Macaca fascicularis: one gene and its partners. The protein of the gene in region 1 purifies or fractionates together with the protein of each later gene. This does not show direct contact. Links are inferred from orthologs where the notes say so. Each region holds a gene or a part of one and is shown on either strand. Other genes may lie near its edges.

Region 1 (3,648 bases):
TGCCCCGCCCCCCCGTCTATAGATGAGGAACCGAAGCACAGAGAGGTAAAGTCATTTGCCCATGGCCACACAGCTAGTGAGAGGCAGGATTTGAACCCACTCTACCATGTTTAAGGAAGGAACAAAGGGAGGGAAACAAAGGCTGCCTCAATTTGTAAAGCCAGATTGGCAGAGGCCAATACTCAGTGTAAGTTTCTATTCCTCTATAATTCCAGCACTTTGGGAGGTCAAGGCGGGAGGATTGCTTGGGTCCAGGAGTTTAAGACCAGCCTGGGCAGCATAGTAAAACACCCGCTTCCACACACACACACACACAAAAAATTTTTAACTAGCTGGGTATGGTGGCACACACCTGTGGTCCCAGATACTCAGGAGGCTGAAGTGGGAGGATTGCATGAGCCCAGGAGGTCAAAGCTGCAGAGAGCTACGATCGTACCACTGCACTCCTGCCTGGGCAACACAGCAAGACTCAGTCTCACACAAAACAAAACAAGGAAGTTTCTATTCTGTCCTTTCCCTGATTTCAAAGATAAAAATTTGTTTTAATACAAATATCCAGAGGCAATGGACTCTTTTTTTTTTTTTTTTTTTTTTTTTTTTAGCATTTTCTGCCCATGGAATGAAAACAACAGCAGAGTCCTGTGGGCAAGAGGGGGAATCAGGTGCCCAGAAAGCTGTTTTGTCTCCTTCCTTCCTTATTTAACACATGACCTCGAGGAAGTTAACTACACTCTCCGGGACTCTGAGCCTCTTACTGAAGTTAGGAAGAGAAATATTGTTCCTTTTCAACCTCAAGTCACCAAAGGACAATGTGGAGGAATGTGTTGGTTGCATGAGGCTCCTGAAAGTCACAAACATCGGTTCCTTCAAGGAAAAGAATGGAGCCCCTTGGGGTTTTCTGAGTGGCTCACGTGGCCAGGAATAAGGAAGCTACTTTTACCTGCTTGGTGGGAAACAAAAAATTGATTGTGTTTCCTCAGATTTTTCTCCCAGAACAGAAACTATTATCTCTTTAAACATAATACCCTGGGTGCAGACATAAATATTTACATAATTCCCGCGCATGGGCAACGGGAAAAATACTTTGGGTCATAAAAGGATAAGAAGTTTTGAAGCGATTCCTATGAAGAATTTTAATGCACAGATTGTTTAAAGCTTCCCTCGGGCTCCAGCAAACATTATTATTTAGGTCATGAAATTCTAGAAGAAAAGGAACCCCTGAGGGTATTGCCCTACACACAGCTGGAAGCAGCTGTGAAGCTTGTCCCCACGCGCAGATAAGCAAGAAGAAAAGACGGAAGACCAATTTCTGGGGACTGATAGAGCAGTAGGGATGACTTGGCCTCCCAGGGGGTATTTTTGGTCAGAAGTGGGGAGCGTAGTGCTCCTGGCATCAAGCGAGTGGGGGCCAAGGATGCTATTCAATATCCTACAATGCACAGGACACCCCCTACAATCAAGAAATGTCTTGGGCCAGGCATGGTGACCCATGCCTGTAATCCCAGCACTTTGGCAGGCTGAGGCGGGCAGATCACCTGAGGTCAGGAGTTCGAGACCAGCCTGGCCAACATGGTGAGACCCTATCTCTACTAAAAATACAAAATATTAGCCGGGCGTGGCGGTGCACACTTGTAATCCCAGCTACTAGGGAGGCTGAGGCAGGACAATCGCTTGAACCCGGGGAGCAGAGGTTACAGTGAGCCGGGATCACGCCACTGCACTCCAGCCTGGGCAACAGAGTGAGAATCCGTCACAAAAAAAGAAAGAACTGTGTTAGGCCAGGCACAGTGGCTCACACCTGTAATCCCAGCACTTTGGGAGGCCGAGGCGTGCAGATCACCTAAGGTCAGGAGTTTGAGGCCAGCCTGGCCAAGATGGTGAAACCCCGACTCTATTAAAAATAAGCTGGGCGTGGTTGTGTACCCCTATAATCCCAGCTACGCAGGAGGCTGAGGCAGGAGAATCGTTTGAACCTGAGCAGTGGGGGTTGCAGAGAGCCGAGACTGCCCCACTGTACTCCAGCCTGGGTGACAGAGTGAGACTCCATCTCAAAAGAAACCAACACAAATGTCTGGCCTGAATGCCAAGCATGGTGCGGTTGAGAACCCACCCCGCCGCCAGCACCCGGAGAGAAGGGCAGGAGGGCTTGGGGCCAAGTGGGAGGCAGACTCACCCCAGCAGGCACAGGCTCCCGCAGGACAGCCAGGTCAGGGCACCGGCATTATAGGACAGCTGACTCACGATCATCTTGTTGCAGGAGGGACAACACATTTGAACAGGGCGGTCCAGAAAGGAGATGGGGTGCTGCACATAGACCGTCTGCACGGTAACTGATGAAAGGGAGAGGGACAAACACAGGCTGCTCAGGAAACAAGGCCACTAGCATTCACAACAGGACAAAGAGAGGAACGCAGGGATGCCAGCAAATACTATAATTGTACATCCGTGTTCATAGCATGCGTTCGTCATTTGGCTACCTATGAGAGCCAAAAGGGGAAGGAACACAAGTGTCCATTGATGGACCAATGAATTAACACAGCGAGGTTTCTCCATCCACCAGAATATGATTCAGCCTCAAAAAACAGGAGGACCGGGCGCAGTGGCTCATGTCTATAATCCCAACACTTTGGGAGGCCGAGGTGGGAGGATTGCTTGAGCCTAGGAGTTCGAGATCAGCCTAGGCAACATGACAAGACCTCATCTCTACAAAAAACTATAAAAATTAGCCCGGCGTGGTGGTGCATGCCTGTAGTCCCAGCTACTCAGGAGGCTGAGGTGAGTCAAGGGGATCACTTGAGTCTGAGACATTGAGGCTGCAGTCAATCATGACTGCGCCACTGCACTCCAGTCTGGGCAACAAAGTGAGATTCAGTCTCAAAAATAAATAAATAAATCTTAACCAGCCTCACACTGTGCCTAGCAGCCCTCGATAAACAATCCACTCTTTTTACACAGACCCTTTGATAAACTCTGACACCCAATGATAAGGGTAGAGTTTACCAAGCCAGGAAATGCAGGTCTACTCTATAAGACAATAAGCTCGTGAACTGTGTTGATACAAGAAATGAAAATATGAAATAATGCTCGGAAGAAAAAGCTATGTGAAACCATGTTTGAACATTCACAAGAATCAGAAGAGAATCCATTCCGGGTGCAGTGGCTCACACCTGTAATCCTAGCAAATCCCTTGGCTTTCGGAGGCCGAGGCAGGTGAATCACCAGAGGTCAGGAGACCAGCCTGGCCAACATGGTGAAACCCTGTTTCAAAAGACAAAAATTAGCCAGGCATGGTGGCACGCGCCTGTAGTCCCAGCTACTTGGGAGGCTGAGGCAGGAGAATCATTTGAACCCGGGAGACAGAGGTTGCAGTGAGCTGAGATCACGCCACTGCACTCCAGCTTGGGCAACAGAACAAACTCTATCTCAAAAAAAAAAAAGAGAATCCAGGGTGATGACAATCATTAAGCACTTCAGTTGTTAAGCTCATATTTTTGTCAAAGCAACTTCCTTCTGTTCCTTTTTACGTTGTTAGAATGCCATTTATGTAACAAATGGATTAGGAGAATATTACTACCTAGAGTTAACTGAACTTAGTAATACTCACAGATAAGACCCTCCTTCCAGAAAAGTAGTATTGAATCATACTTG
Region 2 (4,326 bases), on another chromosome or scaffold:
GTGGCTATGGTAGTACTTGGAAGTTCTAGCATTACACAGACTAGCTTCCATTTCTCTCTAGAGGTCATTTTTGGCATTTAAAACACATGCTTTTAGAAAACAGATTTGGATGTATGTAAACACAGGGTTAATCCACCACACCCTGGATGCTAGGGCTATTGACAAAGTCATGCTTTGCAGATTTTAAAATAAACTTTTTGTCACTCTTGCAGCTTGGTATTTTCCCCTCCTATTTTTTCACCCCCTCTAAATAAACCTCTTTGTTAACTAATTGGTGTTTCTGGATCATAGAAAATAGTGAGTTTAAAATACAGCATATTTCCAAGCTAACTACAAATCTGAGGACAGTTTTTCGACTGTGCACCTTTCCTTCCATTTCTTAAGTCTTTTTTGGTCCTTTGCAAACATGGCAAGATTCCATATTTGTGTCCCAACTGTGGTAATATTGCTGACTTCGTACTGGAGAGCAGTCAGCTCTAGGCAGCATTTCTTCTGCATGGTATTTAAGTTAAATTATTACCACACACAAAAAAAATCCACATGCACTCCCTTCTTCAATTTTCCTTTTGTTTTTTGTTGTTATTGTTTGTTTTTTCGTTGACGTTTTCTTTCCTACCTGGCATATGGGAGACAATGTTTTCTCCAGCTGGGTTCCTTTTCTCTGGTACTTTGGTGTCTGCCAGTCATGTGTGAGCTACACACACGTATACACCTTTTAAATGAAAAATGCTGTGATAGCAGGAGGCCAACTGGGTGTGTAGCACGTCGCGCTCCCTCCCCTCCCTTTAGCTATTTTGTTACTTGTAGATCCTGGTCTAATTATTTAGCATTAAACGGACACTAACTCTGTGGGGTGTGTAATCGTATTTATAGTACTGTTTTATTAGTTTGCATTCCATCCTGGTAGTGTAGTGATGTCATAAATAACAGAAACATGGTATCCAATGCTTGGGAAGGGGTTTACCCGGTGGCCAAGCCATATTTTACTTGTCGTTATTCCATGTGTGGTGGGAGGTGGGGAAATACCGTGTGTGCTGTTAAACATGCCAGGTCCCTGCACAGGTTAGACAGAGTCCCAGCGCTGTGCTCCATTGGGAAAGAAATGCCCTGTGAATGTGATGTGGTTTAGATTTATAGCAGCGTGGCTTGCAGTGTGTTTGCTGCCTTAGTCAGCTGTGAGAGCGCCCTGCTGGGGCCACTCCTTTCTGATGGAAAAGCAGCAGCTGGGAAGGTGCTGTTTCAGGCTCTTGCCGTTTAAAAAAAAAGCGAGTGGGGGAAAACTCCTCTAAGTCCAGAAGCTGGCATTGGAGGGGGAGAGCGCGGTCATGTGGTTCTGGCCACCCTACCCTCTGTCACAGTGTGGATGAGAGCTTTTTGCTCTTATCCAATCATGCCTGGAATGCCGCTTGCCACTTGGGTTATTTCTGCTATCTGTCGCTCCTGGTGCCGCAGTGCTAACAGTTTGGCAGATGGGACACTTTTTCTTGGAGTTTGTGTCTTTGGTTTGTGACTTCTGGCAGTGCCGGGCCTGTTGTTGCCGCTCGCCCTCGCCCTCCTGGCCCCCCTGGTCACCATGGCCCATCGGCTTCGGTTTCATTTTGGCTCTGGTCGCAGCAACACAGCCCCCGAATCAGAGATCCTAGACCAGGAGAGAGAAGACGACTTCTTCATGGCATTCCACACCCTACCACGGAGGAACAGCCCGCACCCCTTCGCCCAGAACGTAGGGGAGGATGGCGACGGAGGCCTGCAGGGAGGCGTGGGCGCGCTCAAGCGGAGCTCGTCCATGTTCATCCCGCAGCTCCTGACCAGCATCGACGCCCGCCCCACGTGCAGCTCCTCGGTGCAGATCTCCCTGCAGCGCAAGGCCGCGGACGGGGCCACGGATGGGTGCGGGCCGCCCGAGGGCGCCGACGATGGGCCTCCGTGCACCACGCCGGACCCCGGGGACCAGGCCTCCGCCACCGCCACCGCCACCGCCACCACGAGGGCCTCGCCCCAGAGCGGTTCCCGGGAGCCCTCGCCGAGGGACACCCCCGGGAACTCCCCTCCGAGGGCAGCCCGGGACCCGGGGCTCCAGGTCAACGGCACGTGCGGCGGCCGCCGCCGCGTGCGGTGCCCTGGCCCGGTGGACTGCCCCGAGGAGGCTGCCCCGGGCCTGCGCATCCAGCACCGCGCCTCCAGCGCCGACGTGCGCCAGGTGAGGCTGCTGCCCCTCGGCCCGGATGGCCAGGGCGGCCCAGCGGCGGCAGAGCCCAGGCGCTGGTCCCTGCAGCACGTTCCAGATGCTTCTGGAAGCTCCGGGAAGCGGTGTTTTGTCTTCCAGTTGCAGCAGCCCCAGCAAGGCGCTCTGGGGTCAGGCAGTGACCTCAACTTTGGCTTCACGGGCACAAAGGGGGACAGGTTGGTGAGGTATCCCCGCATTCGGCTGGAGAGGAGCACCTCGTACCCCACGCAGCCCCGAAGCGAAAGAGGGAGCCCCACGGAAGATCGGGGAGCCCCGGAGGCACCGCCTCGGGCTGGCAGGATGGCTCCCGAAATCCGCAGGACGAACTCCGCAGAGAGGACTCCGCAGGGCCAGGGGTGCACATTTAAGATCAGGCAGGATCAGAACGCGGGGCAGCAGCATTTTAGAATTCTTGTAACCCGGGGGCCGGAAGAAGCTCCCCAGAATCCCGAGGAGAAAAGCGCCAAAAGCCCTGTTTCCACGGGAGCTGACGCCACGGTAAGTTCACGGCTTGTTTACATGTGTTTACTGATTTCAACTTCGATGCTTACTCTGCGGCGTAACCAAAATAAACCTCACCCTCTGTCCCGGGAGTTTCCCTGCTTCAGGCCAGCGGATCTGAATGTTTGGCCGAGTTCTGGCACGATGATTTGTGGTCCAGAGTTTGGTGCGCAAAACACCATTTCTGCAAATGTCTTCTGTAGGTCCTCAAAGTCAACCAACTTTGTCTGTTTGGGAAATCCAAGCAGAATACCTTCCCCCTGCTTTTATTTTTCTGAATAGAAGAATTTTGAATAAAATTTATTACTTTAATCTGCCAAAAACCAAGTCAGTGCCCCAACATGTTGATGGTGGAAATGCATTTAAAAAGCTGCTTGCAAATATAACCTGCGACAATACTTTAAAAACAATCAGTTCTCGGAAAGGTGAGGATATTGCAAAGGACCTGAGTTTCGTCTCTTAATAGTTAAAGAAGGTGAATGTAAAGTTTGGTGAAATATGATTATTTGTCATGGCCTTTTTGCTGAGGGGGTCAGGTCAGTCGTTGTTATATAATTCGCTTTGGGTTTTTTTGTTGTTTTTTATTTTTTTGTCCCATTAAGTAATACTGAACGAGAGTAGTGTCACTTGTGGCATAGCGACATTACTGTCCCACAAGTGACACTACTGAGATACTAAGAGATGTGTTTTTAAAACAACTGGGTTATGGCCCAAGGCTAGGGGAAACTGACGGGGACTCATTAATGGTCAGATGGCATGCCGTGCAATTTAACACTGTCCACTTGAGTGTCCAAGCCGGGGATGCTGTATATAGAATAGTAAGTACCCTGTCTCCAGCTGTGGAAATAGACGCCTTAGAACAGATTCTGGCCTTCCTGTTTCTCTGTTCCTGATCGCTCCCTTTCAGTGAAATGGAGTACAGGGAGACAGCTGCACACTCCATCCGACCAGGCATATGATGACTCTGCAGCTTTCGTAGAGTGGGATGAAAAGTTTAATCAGTTCGGTTTCTTTTAGTAGTAACCACTAGCCAGTGAGTGCTTTCTCTTAAAGAACAAGCTCCTTATATTTTGAATTGGATATTTTTTTCTCCTGAATTTCATGTGACTGCCAATTTGAGGATACGATTAGTAAATGTCTAGGGGACTTTTTGTTTGGATTTCACTTGTGAATAGTGATTTAGAAAAGTGAGTGTCTGAGTATTACTCTAGAATTGTATTGTCTTTTATTGCTTTGTGTTCAGAAATACGTTTCGTCTTTTAAGTAAACTTTGTCACTCCTCTATCATTGGTTGTCATCATTTTGAAGATACAATCAGATGCTTAATGAAAATTTGTTTTTCTTCATCTCTTTCTTTCCATGTATCTCCTTTCTTTCATTATCTCAAACTCTTCTGTTGGGAAACAGCTAAGTGCTTTGCCTTGGTCGGAACCTATACCATATATTACACAATGGTACAAATTTTGACAGAGTTTTGATATTATAGTAGCCTTTAACCCCCACCCCAACAAGTTACCATCATGACAGTTGTAGGCTTTGTTCGGTAACACAATTCCATGCTGAACTTGGACCACTTAACACATGAAGATTGACAAAAA
Region 3 (3,648 bases), on another chromosome or scaffold:
TTGAGAAATATTTTAGCACTGAAAAGTGCAGAGAATAATATAGCAAATGCACATATTCTTTACACTCAGAATTACCATCATTAACAAGTTACCATATTAATTTCCAGACATTTTATTTTTAAAAATAGAGTCTTATAGATTAAGCTAAATTCCTTTTAGCCAAGCTCTTGGTCCCATTCCCCAGGGGGAACCACCATCTTGAATTTCTTGTGTATTCTTTTAGCCTTTTTTATATACTTACATAAAGAGCTTTAAAAATGTAAAATAAAATTAGCCGGGCATGGTGGCACATGCCTGTAATCCCAGCTACTTGGGAGGCTGAGGCCGGAGAATTGATCGAACCTGGGAGGTGGAGCTTGCAGTGAGCCAAGATTGCGCCCCTGTACTCCAGCCTGGGCAACAGAGCAAAACTCCGTCTCCAAAAAAAAAAAAAAGAAAAGAAAATGTAAAATATTGTTTATATGCCTGTGTTTCTAATTTTGCAATGAGAGAACACTCATTTTATTTTACAGAATGAGGTGCTGCTCAATTAAAAAAAACTTTGCCCCATAAGTCTACACCTTTTTTTGCTTAACATTGTTTTAAAGCTCTGTCTATATTGTTATTTATAGATCCAGTGTATTTCTCTTAACTACTAATATTCCGTCATGAATATGTTACATTTCACTTATCCATTTCTGTGGTAGATATTTGCCATTCATTTTGTCTGCCCAACATTTGAATCTACATCTGTGTATGAGGAATTCCCCATCCTATGAGTTTTGGGAAAACAAAGACGACTTCCTCCCATAGGCACCAGAGCTCCCCTTGCAGCTAGGACTTGCGCTTGTGGACCTCGCTCCTTCAATCAGATGCACCCACAGCAGACTGTTAACTACCATCTTACTGCTTGAGAATGAGTTGAGAAATTATAAATTACTGTAAAAATAAAGTTATACAAAATAATGTATTGGAAAAGTGTTATTAAATGTTATTAAATGTAATGCATTATTAAAATGTTGGGAAAATATTAATATGCCATAACTACATTTGAAAATGAGCCTCAAATATGTAGAATCTCTTTAATGGAGGGTGTGTATTCTATTTGCAGGTTAGGTTACCTTTTTAACTGCATCTATTTGTGAGTTTTCTCTCTATAAAATATTACAGTATGATTTCATTAATGTGCTAGGCCACAGTGGAGACCAGTCAGCTGACATCAAGCCAGAGTTCTGCGGGCCCTCAATCACAAGCCTCCACCAGTGATTCAAGCCAGCAGGTGACCCAGCCATCTGAAATTGAGCAAGGATTCCTTCCTAAAGGCTGGGAAGTCCGACATGCGCCAAATGGGAGGCCTTTCTTTATTGACCACAACACTAAAACCACCACCTGGGTAACTTTGACACTCTTCCATCTAAATGTATAACAACAATAATCATCTCTTATGTATAGTTCCTTACAATCTTTAAGTGTGTATTTCTATAACCTGTGTTTCCTAATATTCATTGAAAGATATATTGAATTCTTAATAATATTATATGTATTCAAGAGAATGCTTATGCCTCTTTTTAATATTGTTTTGGGTTACGGAGATATTCATGTTTACTTCCTATTTCCAGTTTTTAGCTCACTGGCCACAAATGCTTAGGAAGATATATAGGAATAACCCTTTGCTTTTATATGAGGCTTTATAGCTCTAAAGCACTTTTGAATCCATATCTCATTTAATATCAGAAAAACCTTGTGAGGCTAGGTAGAACAAGTATTTTTATTTCAAGATAAGTCTTAAAGTTGTTTAGTGCTTGGCTTACTACTAACAGAAAAATTACTTAAAGGCTGGGTACAGTGACTCACGTGCTTTGGGAGGCTGAGGGGGGCAGATCACAGGGTCAGGAGATCAAGACCATCCTGGCTAACATGGTGAAACCTTGTTTCTACTAAAAATACAAAAAAATTAGGCATGGTGGTGGGTACCTGTAGTCCCAGCTGCTTGGGAGACTGAGGCTGGAGAATGGCATGAACCCAGGAGGTGGAGCTTGCAGTGAGCTGGGATCGTGCCACTGCACTCCAGCCTGGGCAACAGAGCGAGACTCCATCTCAAAAAAATAAATAAATAAAAAGAAAAATTACTTAAAATTAGCAGCTGATGAATAGATTTTGATTAATTATTAAAAGACCAACATAGCTTAAATAATACTAAAATTATTTAATAAATTAATACTATTAAGGTAATATATGTAAATTAAACCAAATAAATTGAATTTTGTTCTCTTTTTTAACATTCTGAATTGGCCTTTGATAACGTTTTTGGGCTTACCTTCCTGTTATTCAAAAATATTAATCAACCCTTGAACAGATAGCTGGCAAAATGCATGTTCTGGGGCTTAGAAATATCATGTGGTCCAGGGCCGGGCACGGTGGCTTACGCCTGTAATCTCAGCACTTGGGGAGGCCAAGGTGAGTGGACCATCTGAGGTCAGGAGTTCAAGACTAGCCTGGCCAACATGGTGAAACCCCATCTCTACTAAAAATACAAAAATTAGCCGGGCATGGTAGTGCATGCCTGTAATCCCAGCTACCCAGGAGACTGAGGCAGGAGAATCCCTGGAACCTGGGAGGCAGAGGTTGCAGTGAGCTGAGATGGTGCCATTGCATTCCAGCCTGGGTGACAAGAGTGAAACTCCATCTCAAAAAAAATCAATGAAAGAAATATCATGTGGTCCAATTTAATGTCCCACTCTTTCACCAGTTTTTACATAGAGAAAAGCCGTATGTGACACATTTCCTAAAGCGTGGGGCAAAAGAGATTACCAGTTAGTGGTGATCCCTGAGAACTGCTCCTTATTCCTTTTGATCTTATAGCCTGAGAGTGATAGATTTTAGAAGGAGAAAATATTATGTCACATATTTAGGAAATAAAGTATAAATTGACTTTTACAAGAGGATATTTTAAATATCCATTGATGCTAGAAAACATGGTAACAGACTGACTTTCATTATTTTAAAATGTGTGTGTGTGTATTGTTCTTTATTTACTCTACCAAAAAAGGAAGATCCAAGATTGAAAATTCCAGCCCATCTGAGAGGAAAGACATCACTTGATACTTCCAGTGATCTAGGGCCTTTACCTGTAAGTGTATAGAAATGTTAACCCATCTAACTTGGCTATCTCAAATATTTTGTATTTTTGGATATAGTCGTTCTTTATCAGCTATAATTAATATTATTATTAAAATGTAGGCTGGGCGCGGTGGCTCATGCCTGTAATCCCAGCACTTTGGGAGGCTGAGGTGGGTGGATCACGAGGTCAGGAGATCCAGACCATCCTGGCCAACACGCCATGTTGGCGAACACGGTGAAACCCCGTCTCTACTAAAAATACAAAAAATTAGCCAGACGTGGTGGTGGGCGCCTGTAGTCCCAGCTACTCGGGAGGCTGAGGCAGGAGAATGGCGTAAACCCGGGAGGCGGAGCTTGCAGTGAGCCAAGATAGCGCCACTGCGCTCCAGCCTGGGTGAAAGAGCAAGACTCCATCTCAAAAAAATAAAAATAAAATAAAAAATTTAAAAAGGTCGATACCTTCTAAGAATCGAATGGAATATGCAAGTTAACCATACAACCAGTGCTGTTTTTCTATCCATTCATCTAAAACCCTATCCTAACATAATT

The links.
Region 2: the proteins of LITAF (region 1) and NEDD4L purify together in Homo sapiens (affinity purification with western blotting; 3 studies listed by BioGRID and IntAct, counting the BioPlex papers as one, with this or other methods). This does not show direct contact. The link is inferred for Macaca fascicularis from reciprocal best matches to the Homo sapiens genes LITAF and NEDD4L.
Region 3: the proteins of LITAF (region 1) and NEDD4 purify together in Homo sapiens (co-immunoprecipitation; 4 studies listed by BioGRID and IntAct, counting the BioPlex papers as one, with this or other methods). This does not show direct contact. The link is inferred for Macaca fascicularis from reciprocal best matches to the Homo sapiens genes LITAF and NEDD4.

The regions. Positions count from the first base shown.
Region 1 is NC_088394.1:12,238,540-12,242,187, forward strand, and holds part of LITAF (lipopolysaccharide-induced tumor necrosis factor-alpha factor), read right to left. Parts: intron 2,331-3,648; coding exon 2,174-2,330; intron 1-2,173.
Region 2 is NC_088392.1:22,722,415-22,726,740, reverse strand, and holds the start of NEDD4L (E3 ubiquitin-protein ligase NEDD4-like), read left to right. Parts: upstream 1-1,448; 5' UTR 1,449-1,573; coding exon 1,574-2,725; intron 2,726-4,326. UniProt on the Homo sapiens protein: E3 ubiquitin-protein ligase that mediates the polyubiquitination of lysine and cysteine residues on target proteins and is thereby implicated in the regulation of various signaling pathways including autophagy, innate immunity or DNA repair.
Region 3 is NC_088381.1:32,304,295-32,307,942, reverse strand, and holds part of NEDD4 (E3 ubiquitin-protein ligase NEDD4), read left to right. Parts: intron 1-1,171; coding exon 1,172-1,372; intron 1,373-3,028; coding exon 3,029-3,109; intron 3,110-3,648. UniProt on the Homo sapiens protein: E3 ubiquitin-protein ligase which accepts ubiquitin from an E2 ubiquitin-conjugating enzyme in the form of a thioester and then directly transfers the ubiquitin to targeted substrates. Specifically ubiquitinates 'Lys-63' in target proteins.